Linked DNA regions of Callithrix jacchus. Each later gene encodes a partner of the first gene's protein in a complex. Links are inferred from orthologs where the notes say so. Each region holds a gene or a part of one and is shown in the gene's direction. Other genes may lie near its edges.

The links.
Region 2: the proteins of TAF4 (region 1) and TAF12 are in contact, whole or in part, in a crystal structure (PDB 1H3O), measured with the Homo sapiens proteins. The link is inferred for Callithrix jacchus from reciprocal best matches to the Homo sapiens genes TAF4 and TAF12. Residues at the interface, in NP_003176.2 of Homo sapiens: Phe872, Leu873, Leu874, Pro877, Leu878, Arg880, Arg881, Ile882, Ile885, Gly886, His889, Gly890, Ile891, Thr892, Glu893, Leu894, His895, Asp897, Val898, Tyr901, Val902, His904, Ala905, Thr906, Gln907, Gln908, Arg909, Leu910, Gln911, Leu913; in NP_001128690.1 of Homo sapiens: Val57, Leu58, Thr59, Lys62, Leu63, Leu66, Val67, Glu69, Val70, Glu74, Met83, Leu84, Ile87, Ala88, Asp89, Phe91, Ile92, Glu93, Val96, Thr97, Cys100, Ala103, Arg104, Ser108, Ser109, Thr110, Leu111, Glu112, Val113, Lys114.
Region 3: TAF4 (region 1) and TAF6 share a complex: the UniProt entries of both Homo sapiens proteins name them as parts of the TFIID basal transcription factor complex. The link is inferred for Callithrix jacchus from reciprocal best matches to the Homo sapiens genes TAF4 and TAF6.
Region 4: TAF4 (region 1) and TAF7 share a complex: the UniProt entries of both Homo sapiens proteins name them as parts of the TFIID basal transcription factor complex. The link is inferred for Callithrix jacchus from reciprocal best matches to the Homo sapiens genes TAF4 and TAF7.
Region 5: TAF4 (region 1) and TAF5 share a complex: the UniProt entries of both Homo sapiens proteins name them as parts of the TFIID basal transcription factor complex. The link is inferred for Callithrix jacchus from reciprocal best matches to the Homo sapiens genes TAF4 and TAF5.
Region 6: TAF4 (region 1) and TADA3 share a complex: the UniProt entries of both Homo sapiens proteins name them as parts of the TFTC-HAT complex. The link is inferred for Callithrix jacchus from reciprocal best matches to the Homo sapiens genes TAF4 and TADA3.
Region 7: TAF4 (region 1) and TAF11 share a complex: the UniProt entries of both Homo sapiens proteins name them as parts of the TFIID basal transcription factor complex. The link is inferred for Callithrix jacchus from reciprocal best matches to the Homo sapiens genes TAF4 and TAF11.

Annotation. Positions count from the first base shown.
Region 1 is NC_133506.1:57,549,470-57,552,969, reverse strand, and holds part of TAF4 (transcription initiation factor TFIID subunit 4), read left to right. Parts: intron 1-3,365; coding exon 3,366-3,500. UniProt on the Homo sapiens protein: The TFIID basal transcription factor complex plays a major role in the initiation of RNA polymerase II (Pol II)-dependent transcription.
Region 2 is NC_133508.1:65,279,059-65,282,558, reverse strand, and holds part of TAF12 (transcription initiation factor TFIID subunit 12), read left to right. Parts: intron 1-3,007; coding exon 3,008-3,122; intron 3,123-3,500. UniProt on the Homo sapiens protein: The TFIID basal transcription factor complex plays a major role in the initiation of RNA polymerase II (Pol II)-dependent transcription.
Region 3 is NC_133503.1:13,469,746-13,473,245, forward strand, and holds part of TAF6 (transcription initiation factor TFIID subunit 6), read left to right. Parts: intron 1-1,654; 5' UTR 1,655-1,709; coding exon 1,710-1,865; intron 1,866-1,971; coding exon 1,972-2,058; intron 2,059-2,185; coding exon 2,186-2,339; intron 2,340-2,550; coding exon 2,551-2,607; intron 2,608-3,043; coding exon 3,044-3,163; intron 3,164-3,500. UniProt on the Homo sapiens protein: The TFIID basal transcription factor complex plays a major role in the initiation of RNA polymerase II (Pol II)-dependent transcription.
Region 4 is NC_133503.1:39,749,875-39,754,157, reverse strand, and holds TAF7 (transcription initiation factor TFIID subunit 7), read left to right. Parts: upstream 1-1,483; 5' UTR 1,484-2,260; coding exon 2,261-3,310; 3' UTR 3,311-3,817; downstream 3,818-4,283. UniProt on the Homo sapiens protein: The TFIID basal transcription factor complex plays a major role in the initiation of RNA polymerase II (Pol II)-dependent transcription.
Region 5 is NC_133513.1:96,372,799-96,376,830, forward strand, and holds the end of TAF5 (transcription initiation factor TFIID subunit 5), read left to right. Parts: intron 1-1,318; coding exon 1,319-1,496; intron 1,497-1,665; coding exon 1,666-1,843; intron 1,844-2,470; coding exon 2,471-2,688; 3' UTR 2,689-3,532; downstream 3,533-4,032. UniProt on the Homo sapiens protein: The TFIID basal transcription factor complex plays a major role in the initiation of RNA polymerase II (Pol II)-dependent transcription.
Region 6 is NC_133516.1:66,944,169-66,946,878, reverse strand, and holds the end of TADA3 (transcriptional adapter 3), read left to right. Parts: intron 1-555; exon of another isoform or gene 556-570; coding exon of another isoform or gene 571-692; intron 693-1,633; coding exon 1,634-1,826; 3' UTR 1,827-2,210; downstream 2,211-2,710. UniProt on the Homo sapiens protein: Functions as a component of the PCAF complex. The PCAF complex is capable of efficiently acetylating histones in a nucleosomal context. The PCAF complex could be considered as the human version of the yeast SAGA complex.
Region 7 is NC_133505.1:43,120,438-43,122,965, reverse strand, and holds the end of TAF11 (transcription initiation factor TFIID subunit 11), read left to right. Parts: intron 1-1,099; coding exon 1,100-1,230; 3' UTR 1,231-2,028; downstream 2,029-2,528. UniProt on the Homo sapiens protein: The TFIID basal transcription factor complex plays a major role in the initiation of RNA polymerase II (Pol II)-dependent transcription.

The DNA of each region.
Region 1 (3,500 bases):
TCCCCGGCGCCCTCTGCTGGCTGCATGGGGAAGTCGGGGTCTAAGCAGATCCTTGCGGGTGTGCAGGACCCACATGGTCCTTGGGCTGTCCTGGCCGTTTCCTGCAGGACCCAGCACTGCCCCTTTTCCTTCTCTTCTGCCTCACTACCCACTCGCCAAACGGCTCCTCTCAGGACATGCCATGTTGCCTTGATGACCCTTTCCCGTCTCATGCTCGGCAGTCCCTGCCCTGTGCTCTATGCTGACCACCTTGGACACCTCTCAGGCCCTCGGACTTGAGGTGGCTTAACCTTTCAGCAGTGGCTTCCTATGGACCTGCCCCGCTGTGGCCTTGCAGGGAAGGGATTGGGGGTCAGGCTTCAGCGTGTGTTGACTCTGTGCTGACTTGCGGTGATTTTGAAGTCTGGGTGCCCTCGTCCGCGCCCTGCGCAGGCAGCGATGCTGCTATAGACCTGTGTTCTTTGCTTGTGCTGAGCTGTGATTGGAAGAAAGGCTGGAGACATCAGTTGCGCAGCCAGGTCACCCTCAGCCTCCCGGAAGTGGTATTCACTGTCTAGGCTGTGTGTCCGAGTTTTCCGTTACTACTGATCTCCTGGAAAATGTGCCGCAATGACCGGGCCTCGCGTGTGGCGCCCTTTGAGTGGTTAGGCATGGAGGGGGTGTGCATGCATTCAGGGCAGAGCAGCTGGAGCGTGTGCTGCACGGGCCATTGTACCTGCTGCTGAGGCGGCTGTGGGCGCAGCTGTCGCCACCCGTGGCTGGGGCTCTGTGGTGGTGGAGGTAAGGATGGCCCAGTGGGCTCCCACCCTAGGAGCAGACTTGCTCCTCCGGGACAGCCCAGACGCTGCTGGTGCGGGTCCTGACATTCGGGCAGCACAGACCCTGCACCAGGCGGATCTGTTGATGGTGACTCTTTTGCACTGGGCTTCAACTTCAAGTGCCTGTGGCACGTGCATGGTGGAGAAATCGCCTCCTTTCATTTGGCCCTTTTAAGAGCCCTGTGACAGGGCAGGGGGTGCCTGTGGTGCCATTTTTAGAGGCGGAGACCCAGCTCAGGGAGGGTTCACGTGGCATGTCCAAGGTCGTGGGGATTTATGTTTGCTCACTCGCTTGCTTATTCTCTAATCCCAGTGCCTGCACCTAGAAAACCCCAAGCCCCTGTGTTTTGAGTTGTTTAGGCCGAGGCCCCCTAGGGCTTCATGTCTGTGCTGGCCCTCGTGGATCTGTGTTGTCCCAGGCCCTGCTTTGCAACATTGCGCCTGTGTGTGTCACACAGTCCCTCTAGAGTGTCCATGGGTGCCCTGGCTCTGGTCCCCACAGACGCTTTGTCCTCCAGCCTCCCATTGGGGTTGGAAGCCCTCACTCTCCTCCCAGCAGGCTCCATGACCAGTCCCCCGGGCTTCTGTGCCCACCATGGGCATAGCCCATGAGGGGTTTCAATGAACCTAGATAGGAAAGCCGCTGCCACTGCTGTGTGGGCTGGGCACAGAAGACCCTGGTCCGCCGGCAGCCCCAGTCCTGAGAACGGAGGGAGAGGTTCCCATGAGATCTCCACTCTGTCTTCAGAGCAATTTAGCATAGGACCTTCTGTGGTAGCCAAACTCCACATAGAATTCTGTGAGCAAAGACCCTGTTGGAAAGACAAGGGAGTGTGGACCCTCCTGCCTGGGGTGAGGCGGGTGGGGAGGGTGGAGGGCACTGTGTAGAGAGGGGCAGTTGGAATATTGGGTAGGTTAGATTCGCGGGTAAGCTTGTTTTTCTTTTTCTTTTTTTTTTTTTTAAAAGATTTAAGAAAAAAATTAGTTTTATTTATTAAACTCATAGAACCTGGAGAATTTATGGTTTTCATTCATAGTTGTACCTTCAGAGCCTGGCACAGAAGCAGGGCCCGGCATCAGGTTCTCAGTGTGCTGGGCCTGGGGGTGGCCTCAGCACCCAGCAGGCACTGCCTCGCCCCCTGCCCTTGGTTGCTGCTGACACTTGCATTAGAATATTTTGATTTTTGACTCTCAGCATCCCTTAAATTGTGCTCCCAAGATGAGCGTCTCACTTTCACCCCAGCCCTCTTTCTTGGCTGCTGAGCTATTTTGAGGTAGACACATCAAACCGCAGTCTGGAATCTATAGCAGGTGTCACTGGGTCACAGCCTGCTTGGGTGGTGCCTGTGAGATCCCCGCCCTCACTCTGCAAACTGTCACCCGCCCAAACTTGATCAGGTGCGGATCAGTTTGTAATGAGCGAGTGTGGAGCCTGCAGAGGCTTCAGTAGCAGAGGGACCCAGGGCGGATCTGAAGAAGGGCCCTCAGGCTCAGGGCATCTGAAGGGAGACGGTGCCCTCTACTGTTTGAGTCTCATAGGAATAAAGAAAATGCCATCGGTTAGAGACCATCACACAGGGCAGCTGTGCTCCCAGCCTGAACTGATAATGGCAGAGGGGGGATGGGAGGAAGGGCAAGATGAGGGCACCAGGTCGGGGCAGCTGGGCCTCGCCTGCAGCTGCCCACAGTTTGGCTCCCATGCACAGAGCAGAATCCGTTACTTCCATCATCTTAACTGCGGTTGAGAACGTGCTGTAAAGATGCCATCGTAATCTTTGTACTTAAATATACATGAGCAACTTTAACCCCCATGGCAGGCCTTGGTTTTCAGCCAAATGGGGAAACAGCAGCTGTTGGGAGTTTGGCATGTGCCCTGCTGGGTGGTGTCGTGCAGGTGTTGTCTGCTGAAACCACAGGAACACTCCACAAGAACTGGCACCCAGCAGCTATGCTTCTCCAAGCAGGAAGGTGTCTGAGGCGGCTCAGGACACAGCTGGACACCTGGAGGGGGCTGGCAGAGGCAGGGTCTCTGCAGCCAGGGCCCAGCCAGAGGGAGGGTTGTGCAGGGTTGTGGAGGAGCCGGGGATGACTGTGGGAACCACTGAGCAATCCAGCCTTCTTAGCTGACCCAGCACACCCAGTGCAGGAATTCAGCAGCCAAGCAGGGATGACACACAGAGACACAGTGTGGCTTCTGTGCCCTCTGCTGCGGTCGCATGGAGGGTGACCCTGGGACTGCTCAGCCATCCGCCTTGGGCGGGTGCCACCCCCTGGTCCGTCCTCAGCCCCGGGCCTGGTCTGAGTACTGTGGGGCATTGGGCAGTGTCTGAGTCTGCCCTATCCTGAAGGCACAGTGTGGGGCCTCCTGCCCTCACCCCTGCCCTGGCAGGCCCTGAACGGCTCCTCCTGTGGGCCTGCCGGAAGGGGCCCGGCCGGGCCTGGCCTCCTCTGGCATCAGGGTACTTGGGACAGCCAACAGGCGGCACCCCTTGCCAGCCCCGCTTCGAACCCCACTAACACAACTGTCTTTTCCTTTTTCGTCACCAGGGGTCGGGCTCCGGCTCAGTGGTCCCAGGCAGCTCGGGTGTTGGAACCCCCAGGCAGTTCACACGACAAAGAATTACACGGGTCAACCTCAGGGACCTCATATTTTGTTTAGAAAATGAACGAGAGACAAGCCAT
Region 2 (3,500 bases), on another chromosome or scaffold:
GAGCCTTGATTGGGCCACTGTACTTCAACCTGGGCAATAGAGGGAGACCCTGTTTCAAAAACAAACAAAAAAAAGTTATTGGTTCTTTTCTATGGTAAGGCTCAGGAAAAAAAAGTTTATTGGAAATTCTTGCCCATTCAGATTTTCTCTTCTGTTGCTGATGTCTTTGTGGATTAATATTTTATTTTATTTTATTTATTTTGAAATGGTGTCTCACTCTGTCGCCCAGGCTGGAGTTCATTGGTATGATCTCTGCTCACTGCAACCTCTGCCTCTCAGGTTCAAGCCTCCCAAGTAGCTGGGACTAGAGGCACACGCCACCATACCTGGCTAATTTTTGTAATTTTAGTAAAGAAGGGGTTTCATCATATTGGTCAGGCTTGTCTCAAATTCCTGACCTCAAGTGATCCACTTGCTTTGGCCTCCCAAAGTGCTGGGATTACAGGCGTGAGCCACTGCACCTGGCAATAAGTTGGTTTTTTTTTTTAACTGTTTATTTTAATGCACTGTGGGAGGGATAGGCAGTAATTTTTGGAGTTGATCTGCTGTTTAATCAGAAGTCTTTCTTTTAGATGGTATCCATTTGGTTCCCACAGTAAAGATGACACTGAGTTAATGACCAGAATAAGGAATTTTGTGTCTATGGTTGTAATTTTAGTTTGTTTTTGTTTGTCACTAGAGGAAGCCATGGGAAATATATTGACTGATAAAAGTCTCAGTTTTGCCAGGCACAGTGGCGCATGCCTGTGATCCCAGCACTTTGGGAGGCCAAGGTGGGCAGATCACGAGGTCAGAAATTAGAGGTCAGCCTGACCAACATGATGAAACCCCATCTCTACTAAAAATATAAAAATTAGCCAGGCGTGGTGGTGTGTGCCTGTAATCCTAGCTGCTTGAAAGGCTGAGGCAGCAGAATCATTTGAACCTGGGAAGCAGAGGTTGCAGTGAGCCCAGATTATGCTACAGCACTCTAGCCTAGGCAACAGAGTGAGACTCCGTCTCAAAAATAAATAAATAAATAAGTAACCTCAGTTTTTTTTCATGTATTTATTTATTCATTTATTTTTGAGACAAGGTCTCTGTCACCCAAGCTGGAGTGCTGTGCCACAATCACCGCTCACTGCAGTCTTGATTAACTGGATTCAAGCAAGCCTCACACTTCAGCCTCCCAAGTAGCTGGGACTACAAGTGCATGCCTCCAAACTCAGCTAATCTCTGTATTTTTTGTAGAGATAGGGTTTTGCCATCTGTGTTGCCCAGGCTAATCTTGAACTCCAGAGCTGAAGCAAACCATCTGCCTCAACCTCCCAAAGTGCTGGGATTATAGGAGTGAGCCATTGTGCCTGGCCTCATGTAGATGATTATCTTCAGAATTCTCATCCTTCTCTTCACACAGTCCAATAATAATTGATAGTGATGTGGAAAGAACTCAGGATTAAGACTCAGAACCCTTTAGGTGGAATCCTGGTTCCTCTTGTTTCTTTCTTTTTAATTAATTAATTAACTTATTTATTATTTTTATTATTGTTATTATTTTGAGACAGAGTCCTGCTCTGTCACCCAGGCTGGAGTGCAATGGTGCGGTCTTGGCTCACTGCCACCTCAGACTCCCAGGTTTAAGCAATTCTCTTGTCTCAGCCTCCCAAGTAGCTGGGATTACAGGCATGAGCCACCATGTCTGGTTTTTTGGTTTTTTTTTTTTTTTTTTTGAGACGGAGTTTCGCTCTTGTCACCCAGGCTGGAGTGCCATAGTACCATCTTGGCTCACTGCAACCTCTACATCCTGGATTCAAGAGATTCTCCTGCCTCAACCTCCAGAGTAGCTGGGATTACATATGCCTGCCACCATGCCCAGCTAATTTTGTATTTTTGGTGGAAACAGGGTTTCATTATTTTGGCTGGTCTCAAACTCCTGACCTCAGGTGATCCACTTGCCTGACCTTCCAAAGTGCTGGGATTACAGGAGTGAGCCACCGCACCTGACCCTTAGAGACTGGGTTTCAACATGTTGGTCAGGCTGGTCTCGAACTTCTGACCTCAAATGATCTGCCCACATCAGCCTCCCAAAGTTGTGGGATTATGAGTGTGAGCCACCATGTCCACCCTCAATTTATTTATTTTTAAATACAGATGAGGGTCTTTCAGTATTGTTGGGTTGGTCTCAAACTTCTGACCTCAAATGATTCTTCCAACTCAGCCTCCCAAAGTGCTGGGATGACAGGCATGCACCACTGCACCTGGCCTTCTGCTTTCTCCTTACATGGCCAGGAACAAATTAGTCTCTCTGAGTCTCTAAAATCCTCTATAGAATGAATAAAATCCATGTCCAATTTTCTTCATAGGATAATTACAAGGACTAAGTGAGATAATAGAAATAAAAGTGCTTTTAAGAGTCTGTGAGTGAGGAATTCAAATGATTCACTTTTATTTTTCCACCAATAAAGATATGAAAGGTAGGGATTGTGATAGTTGATCACTGCCAGGTAAAAAGTATATGCTGAGGCCGGGCGCTGTGGCTTAAGTCTGTAATCCCAGCACTTTGAGAGGCTGAGATGGGCAGATCACCTGAGGTCAGGAGTTTGAGACCAGCCTGGCCAACTTGGTGAAACCCTATCTCTAAAAATACAAAAATTAGCTGGGTGTGGTGGCGGGCACCTGTAATCCCAACTACTTGGGAGGCTGAGCAAGAGATTTGCTTGAACCCAGGAGGTGGAGGTTGCAGAAAACCAAGATCATGCCATTGCATTCCAGCCTGGGCAACAAGAGCGAGATTCCATCTCAAAGAAAAAGAAAGTATATGCTCAGAAAGGTGTGAGTTATACTCAACCTGGGTAATGTTTTTCTTTTGTCCTTCTCATTCCTCTTCCCCACCTTAGCCCAAATGCTAATTCCAGCCTTCTACTAGAAATCCTGACTAGATATATAACCTAAGCAGAAAGCAGTTGTCCCACCACCAGAAGCCTATTTGCCAATGTCGTGGTGACTCTCCCCACTTTACCTTCCCCAGATGCTGCTGCAGATTGCTGATGATTTTATCGAGAGTGTGGTGACAGCAGCCTGTCAGCTTGCACGGCATCGCAAGTCCAGCACTCTGGAGGTGAAAGATGTCCAGCTACATTTAGGTATGTGGTTTTGTTTCTCCCTGAAATATGTATTCACCTGCTGCTTCAGGACTGCCAGGGGAAGTGTAGTCAGAGGAACCTTCATGCCAGAACCAGACTTTTGGGCACTGGGATTTATGTATTAATTCAATAACAGCACTAAATAGAAAAGAAAAATCCATCCATGGTAGGGGGAATGAGCGCAGGCATGGATTTGAAACCAGATTCTGCCACTTTCCAGCTGTATCAGCCTATTTTTACTACCTAGTTTCTCTTAGACTCTGTTTCCTCATTTGTAAAGTGAGGATCATAGTCTCCTCCTTACAGGATAAATCTGATAATTATAGACTATGTCTGTAAAGTGACTGGCACTGGGCCTGCACAAAGTAGGACCTGGTA
Region 3 (3,500 bases), on another chromosome or scaffold:
TGGCCATTATAAAGATTTCAGGTTTTACTCTGTGGCAAGTGGAGAGCCATTATAAGGGTTTGAGCAAAGAAATGACAATATGCTTTACAGTTTGACATTAGCATTTTGGCTGCAAAGTTAGGAACAGATGTAGAGAGAGACAAGGGTAGAGATCAGTGGACCTTGTCTGGAGGCTTTTAGAGTTACCAGGGGATAGATGATGGTGACCTGGGCCAAGCAGCGAGAACAGGACAGTCAGGTTGGACTACTGGGTGGATTTTTTTTTTTTTAATCTTATTATATATTTTTTGAGATGAAGTGTCTCTGTCGCCGAGGCTGTAATACAATGGCACAATCTCAACTCACCACAGCCTCCACCCCGCAAGGTCAAGTGATTCTCCTGCCTCAGCCTTCTGAGTAGCTGGGATTACAGGCACGCACCACCATACCCGGCTGAGTTTTCTGTTTTTAGTAGAGACAGGATTTCTCCATGTTGGCCAGGCTGTTCTCGAACTCCTGACCTCAAGTGATCTGCCCACCTCAGCCTCCCAAAGTTCTGGCATTACAGGCCTGAGCCACCACCTGGTGGATCTGATGTGAAGGCTTAGATAAAGAACAAGTGCCTGGACGGATGGCAGTGCTGTGCAGATAAGGAAAGCTGAGGCTGGGCCAGGCACTTCAGCTCATGCCTCTAATTCCAACACTTTGAGAAGCAAAAGCTGGAGGCTCCCTTGAGCCCAAGACATCAAAGTGCTGGGATTGAAGCCTTGAGGTATAACAGAAAAAGAAATATGGGCTGGGCCTGGTGACTCAGGCCTTTAATCCCAGCACTTTGGAAGGCCAAAGCAGGAGGATTGCATGAGGCCAGCAGTTCAAGACCAGCCTGGGCAACATAGTGAGACTCTGTACCCCCCCAACAAAAAAAATTAGCTGTGCTGATAGTACACATCTATAGTCCCAGCTACTTGGGAAGCTGAGGTGTGAGCACTGCTTGATCCTGGGAGCTTCTGAGCCCTATCAGTCCTCCCACCTCTGCCTCCTGAGTAACTAAAACTATAGCTTTAAGCCTGCATGCCCAGCTAATTTTGTACTTTTTGTAGAGATGGGATCTCACTATATTGCCCAGGCTGGTTGCGAACTGCTGGGCTCAAGCGATCCTCCTACCTCAGGCTCCCAAAGTGTTAGAATTGCAGGCATGAGCCACTAGGCCCAGCCCAGAGGTTTTTTTTTTTGAGGTGGAGTCTCTCTGTCACCCTGGCTGGAGTGCAGTGGTGCAGTCTTGGCTCACTGCAACCTCTGCCCTCTGGGTTCAAGTGATTCTCCTGCCTCAGCCTCCCTTGTAGCTGGGATTACAGGTGTGCACTACCATGCCTGGCTAATTTTTGTAGTTTTAGTAGAGATGGGGTTTCGCCATGTTGACCAGGCTGGTCTTGAATTTCTGACCTCAAATGATCCGCCTTCCCTGGCATCCCAAAGTGCTGGTGGGATTATAGACATGAGCCACCACATCTGGCCCCAGCCCAGATTTTCTTCTCTGTAATACCTCAGGGCTGACTCATGTGGGGATGGATGGAAGACACCCTGAGTTACTCCCTCTCTCCACTGTCTTCCATTTTTGGCCCTCTCCTCATGCCTCACATTTCTTTTTCTTCTGCCTGCCCCATCCCTTTGCCAGGGTCTCCGTCTCTCCACCAGGAACTTCATCCTGCTGGGGAGGAAAAGGCTCCAGAATGGCTGAGGAGAAGAAGCTGAAGCTTAGCAACACCGTGCTGCCCTCGGAGTCCATGAAGGTGGTGGCTGAATCCATGGGCATTGCCCAGATTCAGGAGGAGACCTGTCAGCTGCTGACGGATGAGGTCAGCTACCGCATCAAAGAGATTGCACAGGTGACCCAGCTCTTCTCTCTAGCTCCACATTGGGTCCAAGATGTCACCCGGGGCCCCTTCCTTCTTTAGGGTCTTGGGCTGACATCTGTTCTCTCACCCATCCCAGGATGCCTTGAAGTTCATGCACATGGGGAAGCGGCAGAAGCTCACCACCAGTGACATTGACTATGCCTTGAAGCTAAAGAATGTTGAGGTGACTGGGGGAGACAGGCAGGGGGCGGGTGATGGGGACAGGGCAGTGGAGACCAGGGTGAGACGCCATCCTTCAGCCAGGTCTCCTCCAGCTCCCTTCTCACCCATGCCTCTCTCTCCTGCCACAGCCACTCTATGGCTTCCATGCCCAGGAGTTCATTCCTTTCCGATTCGCCTCTGGTGGGGGCCGGGAGCTTTACTTCTACGAGGAGAAGGAGGTTGATCTGAGTGACATCATCAATACCCCTCTGCCCCGGGTGCCCCTGGACGTCTGCCTCAAAGGTTGAAGGAGGGGAGAGGAGGGTGGCAGGGAGGAGGGAAAGTCGGACAGATGCGTGTGGGTGTGAGGAGCCTCACAATAGAAAAAAACCTCAGTGTGAGATCCCGGGTGAGTTGCAAGGGGAGCAGGAGTGGAAACATACCTTCCATAGCATGGAGCAACTCCCCAGTGTCCATGTGTGGCAATTCACCTTGACACCTGCCTTCCTTACAGCTCATTGGCTGAGCATCGAGGGCTGCCAGCCAGCTATCCCTGAGAACCCACCCCCAGGTAACCCTCTTCATGCCCCACCCTCTGGGTATCTGGTCCCTTTCCCCTTCCTCCCACCTTTGTGTGTGTGTGTGTGTGTTTGATGGAGTTTCACTGTCGCCCATGTTAGAGTGCTGGAGTGCAGTTGTGCAACAATCTCAGCTCACTGCAACCTCTGCCTCCTGGGTTCAAGTGATTGTTGTGCCTCAGCCTCCCGAGTAGCTGGGACTACAGTCACACACCAGCACACCTGGCTAGTTTTTTGTAATTTTAGTAGAGATGGGATTTGACCATGTTGGCCAGGCTGGTCTTGAACTCCTGAGCTAAGGTGATCTGCCTGCCTTGGCCTCCCAAAGTGCTGGGATTATAAGTGTGAGCAACTGTACCCGCCTTCTCCCACCTTTTACTTTTCCTGCTACTCTCATCACCCTTCCCATTGTGCCTGCTTTCCCACCAGCTCCCAAAGAGCAACAGAAGGCTGAAGCCACAGAACCCTTAAAGTCAGCCAAGCCAGGCCAAGAGGAAGACGGACCCCTGAAAGGCAAAGGTCAAGGGGCTGCCGCAGCCGACAGCAAAGGTCAGTCCTACTAGGTCAGGCCTCTCTGGACTCTTGCCCAAAGCCACATAGCCGTTTGTTTCATTTTCTTTTTTGTTTTTGTTTTTGAGACAGAGTCTCACTCGGTCACCCAGGCTGGAGTACAGTGACACAATCTCAGCTCACTGCAACCTCCACCTCCTGGGTTCAAGTGATTCTCCTGCCTCAGCCTCCTAAGTAGCTGGGATTACAGGTGCCCACCACCATGCCCTGCTAATTTTTCTAATTTTTTTTTTTTTTTTTTTTTTAGTAGAGACAGGGTTTTGCTATGTTGACCAGGCTGGTGGTCTCAAACTCGGCCTCATGTGATCCGCCCACC
Region 4 (4,283 bases), on another chromosome or scaffold:
GATCTCTCTAGATGAATCAATTTTTTCATTCAGTTAGCAAATATTTTTTGTGTATCTCCCAAGTTCTGATACTATGAACTGGGACACAACGGCCAAGATGGAAAAAGATCACTATCACGGAGCTTTGGATCATAAGGCAATAAAGTGAATTTTGGAACTGTTAATTACATCTTGAGAGAATTCTCTTAAATTTAGGGGCAATTAATATTTTAGAGGATAGAAATTAAGTATTAATGGCCATTATGCTCTACCAAACAGATCTTATTTTAAAAATAAATAGAAATAAGTACTATTATCCAGTTATGCCAAAATACTAAAAGCATGCATTGAAGAATACCTGACTAGCCATAGAAAAGACAAGCAGAAAACAGCAAAACAGAGATAGTGCAAAAAAAAATTTCCAGAGTAATTTAAAATTAGCTACAAGAGAGGCAGGAAACAATACTTCCATTATATCTACTTTAAAAAGATGCTCAGCTATCAGACAATTCTGTCCAAAATGAACCTGTGCTTCCAGAAGAACACTTCCTTCACTGTTTACATTTACATCTAAATCAAGCACATAAAAAGGAATCATCCTTGTTTCCCCAGGAGTATTCCAGAACAAAAGTAAATCCAGAGGTAGGATTCCCCTACAGGCATTCTCAGAATTAAAACAATGTAGACTGTGGGCTGGGCGCGGTGGCTCACACCTATAATCCCAGCACTTTGGAAGGCCAAGACAGGCGGATCACCTCAGGTCTGGAGTTGGAGGCCAACCTGGTGAAACCCCTTCTCTTAGCCGGGCGTAGTGGCACGTGCCTGTAATCCCAGCTACTCTAGAGGCTGAGGCAGGCGAACAGCTTGAACTCCCGAGGTGGAGGTTGCAGTGAGCCAATATCGCGCGCCACTGCACTCTAGCCTGGGTGACAGGGTGAGATTCTGTGTCAAAAAAAAAAAAAAAAAAAAAAAATATATATATATATATATATATATAGAGAGAGAGAGAGAGAGAGAGAGAGAGAGAGAGAGAGAATTATATAGCGAGCTGCATGTCCTCACTCCACTAATTCGGGTACTTTAAAATCCATTGCATAGCAGCTACACATTCTTGTATTGACACCAGATTGGTTAAGACCCTAGGGAGCATCCGAGATGTTTCCAGAAGCAAGGACTCCATCTCCGGGGATCACCCGGAAGTCTAAAAGCCATCGAGCCCCAAATCGATCCCGTAAAAGTGCTGGCTTAGCGGGGGATGAATCTGTATCTTTCTTGGAACTTCCAACCTTTAAATATTTTGAAACCAACAGCCCTTACGAAACCCTGCCATTTTCATCCTGGAAGAACATTTCTCGCGAAAAGACGAACTTCACGCTGGGCACCGTAATTGCGCTATTGCGCCGGCGCACGCCGGGCTCCGCACTTCCGCCCGGGCGGGCTGTCACTCACAGCCGCCTCCCGCCCCGCGCCGTGACGTAGCACTTCCTTTTTCGCTGGGTTGGGCACTCAGTCGGAGGGTCAGCGAGTTGACGGTTGTTGTGCTGCGGGCTGCCGCTCTCGTCAGGCTTTCGCGCTGCCCGTCCCGGGCCCTTTCATCAGTAATCGGTAGTGGATCATTCTGCAAACCAGCAGGAAGAACAAAGGAAACGAGAAGGAGACGCTGGGCTCCCTCCCGCTTTGCTCCGTTCGGCTTCCTTCCGCTTTGCTCCGTTCGGCCTGCTCCCGCTTTGCTCCGCTCGGCCTGCTCCCGCTTTGCTCCGCTCGGCCTCCTGTTCGCTCCAACCGGGTGAAACTGAACTTATAATCGTCACTGGATTGTAAGTACCCGAGGCGAAGAGAGCTTACTGCGCCCCGATTTTTTGAATGTCTTTGTTCCGGGAGAGTCTGTGACTTGGGAGTGTCTCTGCTGGGCTTTCTGGGCCGAAAACCGTTCCGCGGGAGCCGCCATTTGCTTTCCTGCTCTGTAGCTAGCTAGCTCTATCCGCGTTGTCCGGCAGCGGCACCTAGAGGTTGGGACTTGGCATTGCATCTGATTTAATGAAAAATCTGTGAATAAGCCATTGTTGTCAGTAACGACTGGTATTCAGTCACAGCATATTTAGAGAAAAGACTTGGACTTAAAACTGAAGCAAAATAGACGCTTAGCTGCTGATCTACAGAGAACTTCTTGTAATTAAACGATTTCAATTCATAGCAAACTGGTGTTTTAAACTGTTGCAGTAGCTGGAACTTTTCAGTGTAACCAGCATTTATTGGAGAAGTGAGTCACAAAGAAATAAAGATGAGTAAAAGCAAAGATGATGCTCCTCACGAACTGGAGAGCCAGTTTATCTTACGTCTGCCTCCAGAATATGCCTCTACTGTGAGAAGGGCAGTACAGTCTGGTCATGTCAACCTCAAGGACAGACTGACAATTGAGTTACACCCTGATGGGCGTCATGGAATTGTCAGAGTGGACCGTGTTCCATTGGCCTCAAAATTGGTTGACCTACCTTGTGTTATGGAAAGCTTGAAAACCATTGATAAGAAAACCTTTTACAAGACAGCTGATATCTCTCAGATGCTTGTAGCCACAGTTGATGGTGATCTCTATCCTCCAGTGGAGGAGCCAGTTGCTAGCGCTGATCCTAAAGCTAGCAAGAAAAAGGATAAGGACAAAGAGAAAAAGTTCATCTGGAACCACGGAATTACTCTGCCTCTAAAGAATGTCAGGAAGAGAAGGTTCCGGAAGACAGCAAAGAAGAAGTATATTGAATCTCCAGATGTGGAGAAAGAAGTGAAACGATTGCTGAGTACAGATGCTGAAGCTGTTAGTACTCGGTGGGAAATAATTGCTGAAGATGAAACAAAGGAGACAGAAAATCAAGGCCTGGATATCTCTTCTCCAGGAATGTCTGGTCACAGGCAGGGCCATGACTCATTAGAGCATGATGAGCTTCGAGAGATATTCAATGACCTCAGCAGCAGCAGTGAGGATGAAGATGAGACCCAGCATCAAGATGAAGAAGATATAAACATCATTGACACTGAGGAAGATCTGGAGAGACAGCTACAGGAGAAGTTAAATGCATCAGACGAACAGCACCAAAAGAATGAAGGAACCAATCAGCTGGTTATGGGAATTCAGAAGCAGATTGACAACATGAAAGGCAAGCTCCAAGAGACCCAGGACAGGGCAAAACGACAAGAGGATCTCATCATGAAAGTGGAAAATCTGGCTCTCAAGAACAGATTTCAGGCTGTACTGGATGAGCTCAAGCAAAAGGAAGATCGAGAAAAGGAGCAACTCAGCTCTTTGCAAGAGGAGCTAGAATCACTCCTAGAGAAGTAAAAAGAACTCTGCTACTGAATTTCAGTCTTCAGACTGGTCAGCAGTAGAAAATTCTTAGCTTTATTACTTGTACTGCATATTAAGACCTTGCCCTTCCTAGTCCCTCTAATGCTGGGTGTTCTGTTGAATTCTTTTGTTTTTAATTTTGTTTTTCTGCAAACTTACCTTGTTTTGCTAGTTGTTAATCCTATAAGAAAAATTATATAGGCAGAAAAATGATTGTAGGAAAGTTGCAGTATTAGTGTAATGTATGGTTCAACCTTAATTATAGTTTCACTGCAGGACTTTGCTGTTTATCCATTTTCCTAGAAGCTGGTGTTGCTGCTTTGTGATGACATGAGATCAATAAGAAAAACTTAGTCTAGAGACAGTGAAGCTGGTTTGTATATGTTTTCCCATGCAATAGCTGTTTTCCCAGTTATTCAAAGCAGTTTCCCATATGTAGAACTGCAAATTATTTTATAAAGTTTTCAATACAATAAATAAAAGCGTCTGTTTTTCACCTTATAATGTATCTTGTTCTTTCATGGTTGGTGGGAGTGAGATTCTCTTGGGAGGTGTTTTTGTGGTGGAGTTTAGTAACTGAGCAATTTAATCCTGTTCTGCAGGTAGAAGCAGTTGGATTTTATGAAAAAAAAAAAAAAAAAAAAAAAAAGGAACGTAGCAGGGATAAAGAAATTGGGAGTTGTCAAATTTGCATCACATTAAGGTTCCAATTCTGTCTGATCTACTTGAAGCTGGGAAACATTAGATACAGAGCTTTCTTTACCATAATTTCTGTAGATGAAGGCCTTTGTGCTTTTTTTTTTTTAAAAGCACTAAATCTACCTGCTTAAAATGTTGAAAACAAAGCAGTGGTTATCAAGTGCAGTCCAATGAACCATTCCATTGGTTTGAATTAAGATTTTATTTCTAATTTTCTTCAATTGAGTTCCTACAATTATTTAATATTCTAAGAACTGAGGTTATTTAT
Region 5 (4,032 bases), on another chromosome or scaffold:
CCAGCCAAATCCTGCTTTTTAAAAAATACTTAATTAACAGTACTCCCTGCAATTTTCTCCATATGGATATTATTTTGTGTCAGGGGGCCATGACCGAGTAGCTCGGTAAGAACACTGTGATCTTATGACTGGGTCTATTCAATGATCAGAATGGTTTCTTGTTGGGAATTACAGCAGCCAGCCAAAATCATTTAACTTCCATTATTAAGGATCAGCTTTGCATTTATAACTAATTTGAAAATCAGTTTTGGGAAGGAGTATTAATATATCTGCAATTACATCTATTTGAATCCTGCTTATATATATATATATATATATATATATATATATATATATATATTTTTTTTTTTTTTTTTTTTTTTAAGAGAAGGGGTTCACCATGTTGGTCAGGATGGAGGATGGTCTCGATCTCCTGACCTCGTGATCCACCCTCCTCGGCCTCCCAAAGTGCTGGGATTATAGGCATGAGCCACCGTGCCCAGCCAAATCCTGCTTTTTAAAAAATACTTAATTAACAGTACTCCCTGCCACCCCCATCAGATGCTTAACCTTGTCTTCCACTACCACTGTGAGCACCTTTATGTTTCTCTGTATTCTCCTTAGAAGTTGAGGATAAGGTAGCTCAGGTTAGAAACTATTTGGCCAGGTGTGGTGGCTCACACCTGTAGTCCCAGCACTTTGGGAGGCCGAAGAGGGCAGATCACTTGAGGCCAGGAGTTCCAGACCAGCCTCGCCAACATGGCAAAACCCCATCTCCACTGAAAAAACAAAAAACAAAACTTAGCCAGGTGTGATGGCACGTGCCTGTAGGCAGAATTGCTTGAACCCAGGAGGTGGAAGTTGCAGTGAGCCGAGATCACACCACTGCACTGGGTGACAGTGAGACTGTGTCTTAAAAAAACCAACTGTTTGGTGGCCAGAACTAGGGCAAAATACTTCCTCGTGGTTTAGAAAGGAATAGGGAAGGAAGAGGAGTATACAGAGAATTGAGTTCTATAACTTAAATTTCGGCAGGGTACAATGGTACAGGCCTGTAGTCCCAGCTACTGGGGAGACTTAGGTGGGAAGATTGCTTGAACCCAGAATTTGAATCCAGCTTGAGCAAGACCTCAGCTTTTTTTTTTTAAAAAGACAAAACAGTACCAGATCAACTCTTAGGACGGTTAGTCTCATTCTTCTTCCCTCAGTTAACTAGTAAGTGGGAACCACTGGAACTAACATTTCATACAGATGTTTCTATATTTATTTTGGATCGATTTTTGGCATTTCACAGCTAACTCCTAATTGTCATCTTTTGCTTTTAATAACTTTATAAAAGGCTTTGGGCTACAGACCACTATCAGCCTTTAAGGATATTTGCTGGCCATCTTGCTGATGTGAATTGTACCAGATTCCATCCAAATTCTAATTATGTTGCTACGGGCTCTGCAGATAGAACTGTGCGGCTCTGGGATGTCCTGAATGGTAACTGTGTAAGGATCTTCACTGGACACAAGGTATTTTACACTCTTATTATTCTAGCATCCGAAGTTGCTTTCAACAAAAAAATATGTTTTAAACAAGTAACATAAATTTTAAAGACACCATTCTTTCTACAAAACTTTTAAAATTTTTTCTTATTTTCTTGGACATACTTGACTTTGGTCCTCTAAATTTCTTTTCTAGGGACCAATTCATTCCTTGACATTTTCTCCCAATGGGAGATTCCTGGCTACAGGAGCAACAGATGGCAGAGTACTTCTTTGGGATATTGGACATGGTTTGATGGTTGGAGAATTAAAAGGCCACACTGATACAGTCTGTTCACTCAGGTTTAGTAGAGATGGTGAAATTTTGGCATCAGGTAAATGACTATTAATGGCTTTATGGTAAATGGTATGGTAAGAGGAAACAGTGTTGACGATTGCTAAATTAAGTCCTGATGTTTCAGGTTTTGCTTTCCTTTAGCTATGATTCCAGTGTCACCCTACACGAATGACTTCTCAGTCTGGACTTCTCAGGTGGACTTAAAATACCACCTGAAGGGCTGGGCGCGGTGGCTCACGCCTGTAATCCCAGCATTTTGGGAGGCCGAGGCGGGTGGATCACGAGGTCAAGAGATCGAGACCATACTGGTCAGCATGGTGAAACCCCGTCTCTACTAAAAATACAAAAAATTAGCTGGGCATGGTGGCGCCTGCCTGTAATCCCAGCTACTCAGGAGGCTGAGGCAGGAGAATTGCCTGAACCCAGGAGGCGGAGGTTGCGGTGAGCTGAGATCGCGCCATTGTACTCCAGCCTGGGTAAACAAGAGCGAAATTCCGTCTCAAAAAAAAAAAAAAAACCACCTGAAATGCTCCTTTAGGAGTAGTTGTTGGCCAAATTTAGATTTTTCACCCAAAATGTACAGTAAATACATAAAATGCATTGGACAGTCTCAGAATCTAAATATGATGGATGCAGCTAATGGTTTCCTTTGACTTCCCCTTAGGTTCAATGGATAATACAGTTCGATTATGGGATGCTATCAAAGCCTTTGAAGATTTAGAGACAGATGACTTTACTACAGCCACTGGGCATATAAATTTACCTGAGAATTCACAGGAGTTATTATTGGGAACATATATGACCAAATCTACACCTGTTGTACACCTTCATTTTACTCGAAGAAACCTGGTTCTAGCTGCAGGAGCTTATAGTCCGCAATAAACCATCGGTGTTAAAGACCTTTTGGAAGCTACTGTTTTTAAAAAGGGAGACTAAAAGCAAATACCTCAGTGATTAATATTTAAGCTACAAAGAATGTTTTTGTCTATACGGATCTGGAAGTATGCTGCTTGGAAAATCTGAACATGACAGTTCCACGTTTCTATAGCAACCACATTTGACTAATTTCCGTTAGTTGAATAAGAGGTATTATGTTCATGGAGGGGACATTTATGGTGCTTTGGATTGTGTGGAAACTATGCATTTTCTGTTCAAATGCTATTTTAATTTATTACATTTAGAAAAAAAGTTAATTTCAATAATTCATCCTGCTTCGAGATTCAAAATCAGAAATATATCATTTTGAATTTTAGCTGAAGAATCCTATGAGCATGTATGTTTCTGCTGTAAAAATGTAGTTACTATATGGCACTCAAGTACTATGTAAAATGATCTGCTAATTTTTTTTTCTTGGCCCATGATTAGTGGAACATATCTAACTATGTAGGGTGAACTACAGTTCCTATTTTAGATCTAGATTTAATACAGCTCTCCACTGACATCTGAATTTATATACCTGTTGAGTTTTGAGTGCAGCCAAACACTTGATAAACGAGTTGAGGAAATTTAGCTTCCATGTTCTACTTCAGCTAAAACAGCTACATACAACCTAGTACACTTGAAGTCAGACAGACATTTCCGTTGCTTACCTCCAGTACTGAGCCTTGCTTTGGGAAACTAAAAGATTTAGACCAAGTCACTGCCAGTTTTTGCCTTTGTTGCATTTTGTACAGTTTTTATATTTTTGATACCTTGTAAATAAAGACCAGCTTTTCCAGGTTCATAATTTATTGTACAAATTGTATTATCACATGATGAGTTGGGATTAGCTTCTCCAGGCATGGAACTTAACAGATGAGGTTAAGAACCAGAGGCAGTTTAAAATCCTATAAACAAAGCAAAAAGTTTAGATACAAACGTGGTCAACTTTAAAGACATTGAAGAATTACTAAGATACATGAACCCACTGAAATTGAATGCAAATTTATTAGCCTGTCAGAGGCATAAAACCAAAATTAAGGTATAACTCAGATTAATACATTTTTTTTTTTTTTGAGACAGTTTCCCTCTTCTTGCCCAGGCTGGAGTGCAATGATGCGATCTTGGCTCACTGAAACCTCTGTCTCCCGTGTTGAAGCGATTCTCCTGCCTCAGCCTTCCAAGTCCTGGGATTATAGGCATGTACCACCACGCCCAGCTAATTTTTTATTTTGAGAGATGGGGTTTCACCTTGTTGGTTAGGCTGGTCTCGAACTCCTGACCTCAAGTGATCCACCCACTTTGGCC
Region 6 (2,710 bases), on another chromosome or scaffold:
GAAAGAGGCACTAAAGGAAGGAGGAGAGACAGAAAAAGAGAGAAAAGTAGGCATGTGCAGTTACAGAAGTAATGGGCCCTATCAGGGCCTGGTGGCTCATGCCTTAATCCCAGCACTTTGGGAGACTGAGGCAGGAGGCTTGTTTGAGCTCAGGAGTTCAAGACTAGCCTGGGCAATGTGGTGAGACCTCATCTCTACCAAAAATTTTTTAAAATTAGCCAGGCATGGTGGCAGATGCCTATAGTCCTAGCTACTCAGGAGGCTGAGGTGGGAGGATCACTTGGTCCTGGGAGGGGGAGGCTGCAGTGAGCTTGATCAGGTCACTGTATTCCAGCATGGGTGACAGAGTGAGACCTGTCTCAAAAAAAAAAAAAGTAATGGGCAATAAAGAAATGGCTTGTGGCTCTTAGGAAACCAGAGCACAGCACTTACCCTGCTGCAGAACAGCTGCAAGGCCTTAAACACCGCCTGGCCTGAGCAGCAGCTTCCCCTTCTGGAAAACTGGCAGGCTGGACTCAATTGCTAAGCAACCTTCCAGCTCCACCATCAATGAAATGTATAAATCACATCCTATTCAGAGGGATTAATTTGGTGTCTCACCCACCTCCTGTCCACCTCAGGCTGCCTACACCGTGAGGGGGCTCTGAATATGGATGCCAAAGTAAGCAGGCCTTCTGCTGGCACCGGAGCACCTGTTAAAGAACAGTGTTTAAAAACAAGAGTTCGGCCCCAGCCTGCTCCAGATCTCCCACTTACTAACTGTGGAATCCTGGGATCCTTTTTGAGCCTCATTTTCTTCATTAGTGACATAAGAATAATAGTACATACTTTGCAGGGTTGTTAGGAGGATTAACAGAGAGAGAGAGAGCGAGTGTGTGTGTGTGTATGCATATGTATATTTTATTTAGAGACAAGGTCTTGCTCTTTTGCCCAGGTTGGTCTCAAACTCCTGGCCTCAAGTCATCTTCCTTCCTCCACCTCCCAAAGCGCTGAGATTACAGGCATGAGCTACTTTGCCCAGCCTACTGTATATGTTTTTAAGACCTTTTTTTTTTTTTAAGACACAGTCATGCTCTGTCACCCAAACTGGAGTGCAGTGGCATGATCACAGTTCACTCCTTGAACTCCTGGCCTCAAGCAGTCCTCAGCTCCTTTGGAGTTGGGACTACAGGTGTGCACCACCACACCCAGCTAATTTTTTAAATTTTTTGTAGAGACAGTCTCACTATGTTGCTCAGACTGGTCTTGAACTCCTGGGCTCAAGTGATCTCCTGCCTTGGGTTCCCAAAGTGCTGGGACTACAGATGTGAACCACCATGTGCAGCCAAGACTTTATTCTTTTAGAGCAGTTTTAAGTTCACGACAAAATTGAGAGGAAGGTACAGAGAATTCTCATATACTTCCTGTCCTTACATGTGCACACCCTCCTCCCTGATCAACATGAGTTAATTTTTCAAGAGCTTAAAATTATGCTATATAAGTGTGGTTCAGTAACTGCTTTTTGGTCACGATTGTATGAAACAATCCACAGGCGTGCCAGCCTGGGCTGGTGGGTAAGCTCAGTCTGGAAGAGGGAGGGACCACTCTCTGGAGGTGGGCTGACCATGACACCTGGCTGGCTGGTCCCCAACAGGCTGGCAAAGGAGGAGGTAAGCCGGCAGGAGCTGAGGCAGCGGGTGCGCATGGCTGACAATGAGGTCATGGATGCCTTTCGCAAGATCATGGCTGCCCGGCAGAAGAAGCGGACTCCCACCAAGAAAGAAAAGGACCAGGCCTGGAAGACTCTGAAAGAGCGTGAGAGCATCCTGAAGCTGCTGGATGGGTAGCCCTCACCCTTGCCTCAGGCTGCCTTCTGGGGGAGGGGAAGGGAGGCCCACTTCCTTCTTTGGGCACAGGGAGCGTTGGCCTGTGGCTGTCCCTCAAATGGTGGCAGTCTCTAGAGGACCGTGGCCCTTCCTTTGAGGTCTTTTGGCCTGCCTAGCTCTGTATAGCCAGGACATAGGAAGCCCTGCTGGGTTGGCCTGGGGCCTAGTCCGCTTGGTTCTCAAGATGAGGTTGGGGGGGCTTCGTTTCTGGATCTTCCTCTTCCCTCTCTTTACCATCCCCTACTCCCTAACCCCCTACCCCTCTCTCCCCGTCAAGGACTTCTCCCTGTGGTTTTATAAAGTGCAAACTAAGAATAAAGTGACTGCTGTGGTTTTTCAAAAAAAGCATCCAGTCTGAATGTCTGTTACGGTGAGGTAGGAAGGAACCAGTGTGGGTGGTAAGGTTTGTAGGGATATGCTTGGTGGCTCTCAGCCCGTGACCACCAACCTGTGGCATTCATTCAGGGAGAACTTTCTGAGCACCTCTTTCTGAGGTTACTCGTGGCTGCAGGTAACAACACCCCCCAGCTCCAAGTGGATTCACAATAAGGAAATGTGTGGGTGTGGACCGGGTGCAGTGGCTCAACACCTGTAATCCCAGCACTTTGGGAGGCTAAGACGGGTGGATAACATGAGATCAGGAGTTCAAGATGAGCCCTGACCAACATGGAGAAACACCGTCTCTACAAACAGTACAAAATCAGCCAGGCATGGTGGCACATGCCTGTAATCCCAGCTACTCGGGAGGCTGAGGCAGGAGAATCACTTGAACCCGGGAGGCAGAGGTTGCGGTGAGCTGAGATCCCGCCATTGCACTCTAGCCTGGGCAACAGAGTAAAACTCCA
Region 7 (2,528 bases), on another chromosome or scaffold:
TGGGATTACAGGCTTGAGCCACTGCACCTGGCCTAGATTTTTTTTCTCCAGTGGACTTTGCTCATTTCTGCTGCCAAAAGTAAAGATATAAGAAAAGCATTGTTTCCTATGATCCGTGTTAGAGGAAGTAAAAAAATAAATAAATAAAAGAAAAGCAATCCCAGGGCTGACCTGTATGGGATGGTAAGTTGTCCCTAATGTAGTGATCCCTGGGAGCTGCCCCCGTTATTGAGTAAAAAGCCTGGCTGTTTCCCATTGCTACTCTAGCTGGTGAATTTTTTTATTTTTTAAGCAGGAGATACATACTTTTAAATTATTACTATTTTTTGAGACAGGGTCTTGCTCCGTTGCCCAAGCTGGAGTGCAGTGGCATGATCTTTAGTTTTTTTCATGTTTTTTTTTTTCTTTTACAAATCATCAATTAAGATGGTGTACAAAATGAGATGATAACAGTGGTGTGATCATAGCTCACTACAACCTCAAACTCCTGAACTCAAGGGATCCTCCTGCCTCAGCCTCCCAAGTGGCTAGGACTGTAGGCATGCACTACCACACCTGGCTAATTTTTAATTTTATTTTTATGTAGTTATTTTTTTGAGACAGGGTTTCACTCTGCTGCCCAGGCTGGAGTGCAGTGGCATGATCATGGATCACTGCGACAGCAGGTCCTGGGCTCAGGTGATCCTCCTGCCTCAGCCTCCTCAGTAGTTGGGACCACAGGTGCACACCACCACCCTGGCTTTTTAATTTTTTTGTAAAGACAAGGTTTTGCCATGTTGCCCAGGCTGGTCTCAAACCCCTGGGCTCAAGCAAATCCTCCCACCTTGGCCTCCCTAACTGCTGGGGTTATAGGCATGAGCCATAGCATGCGGCCTATAAGAAATATGTTTTAAACTGCTGTCTATGATAAAGCCTGATATGAAATGTTATACTAAAACTAATGTGATACATTTTATATCATTCTCTTAAAGTAAAAATGTCTTGGTTTATTTCCTTAGCAAGCTTAAGAAAGGTTAACGAGAATTACAGGACTCAAAAGGATTATGTGATTAGTAAATTCTTGTGTGATAATAAGACTTTCTCCTTACCCTCTGTTTAGCACTGGATGTGTGTGAGAAATGGGGAGAAATGCCACCACTGCAACCCAAACATATGAGGGAAGCTGTTAGAAGGTTAAAGTCAAAAGGACAGATCCCTAACTCGAAGCACAAAAAAATCATCTTCTTCTAGACCAAAGTCTAGAAAGGCCTGTTACTGACAGAAGAAGTATTGGTTCCGGACTTCCTGTAAGACTGGCTACTGGTGCTTTAGTATCTCAGTCCTCCAAGGATTCCATGATTTTAATGTCTCTCAAAACTCTTGATTATTCGTCACACCTAGAAAGTATGTAGCCTGTTTGATACTTGCCTTGACTAAATTTTGGGACCTCTTGGGGCATTTTGAAGTATTTGTCTTGGCCAGTTGGAAGAAGTGTGGGCCATAAACATTTTCTGGACAGGAGAACTGCTTTCAGAGAGAAAAATCTTTCCAAGAGGTTTTTTTTTTTTTTTTTTAGATAGGGTCTTGCGTGTCACCCAGGCTAGAGTGCTGGAGTGCAGCGGCATGTTTGCAGCCTTGAATTCCTGGGCTTAAGTGAAGTGACACTCCCACCTCAATCTCCTGAGCAGCTAGGACTACAGACACACACTACTGTGTCCAGTTAACTTATTTTTATTTTTTATGGACATGGGGTCTTGCTTTGTTGCCCAGGCTGGTCATGAACTCTTGGCTTGAAGCAGCCCTCCTGCCTCAGCCTCCTTAAGTGCCAAGAGCTTTAATGGTTTCACATTGAAGCCTAAAGTTGCTAAGACTTAGTTCGTTTCTTACAACCAGTTTTAAGTAGATGAAACAACCAGAAACTTTGACTTGTGATACTCTACCATGAAGGACGTGGTAAAGGCAGGAATCGTGGAATAACTGGTGCTTGTAAACATTTAAGATTCTCCTGTGGATTTTGGTGAGTGATCATTAAACTGTTTTCCAACTTGCCTTATGTGTATTCATTTTCTGTCTAGCTGGTGGTAATGGGAAGTTGATTATTTTCTGGTGTTCCAATACAACTGGTTTTGGCTATTTTGTGAAAATTTGAGTCCTTTTTCTAATAAAACCATTAAAATTTTCTCTCATAAAAGAGTACTTCAAGCACTGTTAAAAACAATGTAATAATCTCCCCCTAAAACTGAGAAAATAAACAATATAAAAGCCCATATATTTCAGATGCTTATCAACAGATATACAACAACCATTATGATTTAATAAATTTAATTTGTTTTTACAGGTGGTTCACAGAACCAGTACACTCAAAGTTTGACTAGATATTGCAACATTGAAGTTTCCCAATACGACTGGGATTCCAGTTCATCAGATACATTCTCATTGTTTTTCTCAAATGGAGGGGAATGAAGTGACCTTTTATTGACAGTGATTCGCAGTAATAAGGCTACTGTATGTAATTGGCAATCCCCAATAATTTTTCCTCTCTACGGAAG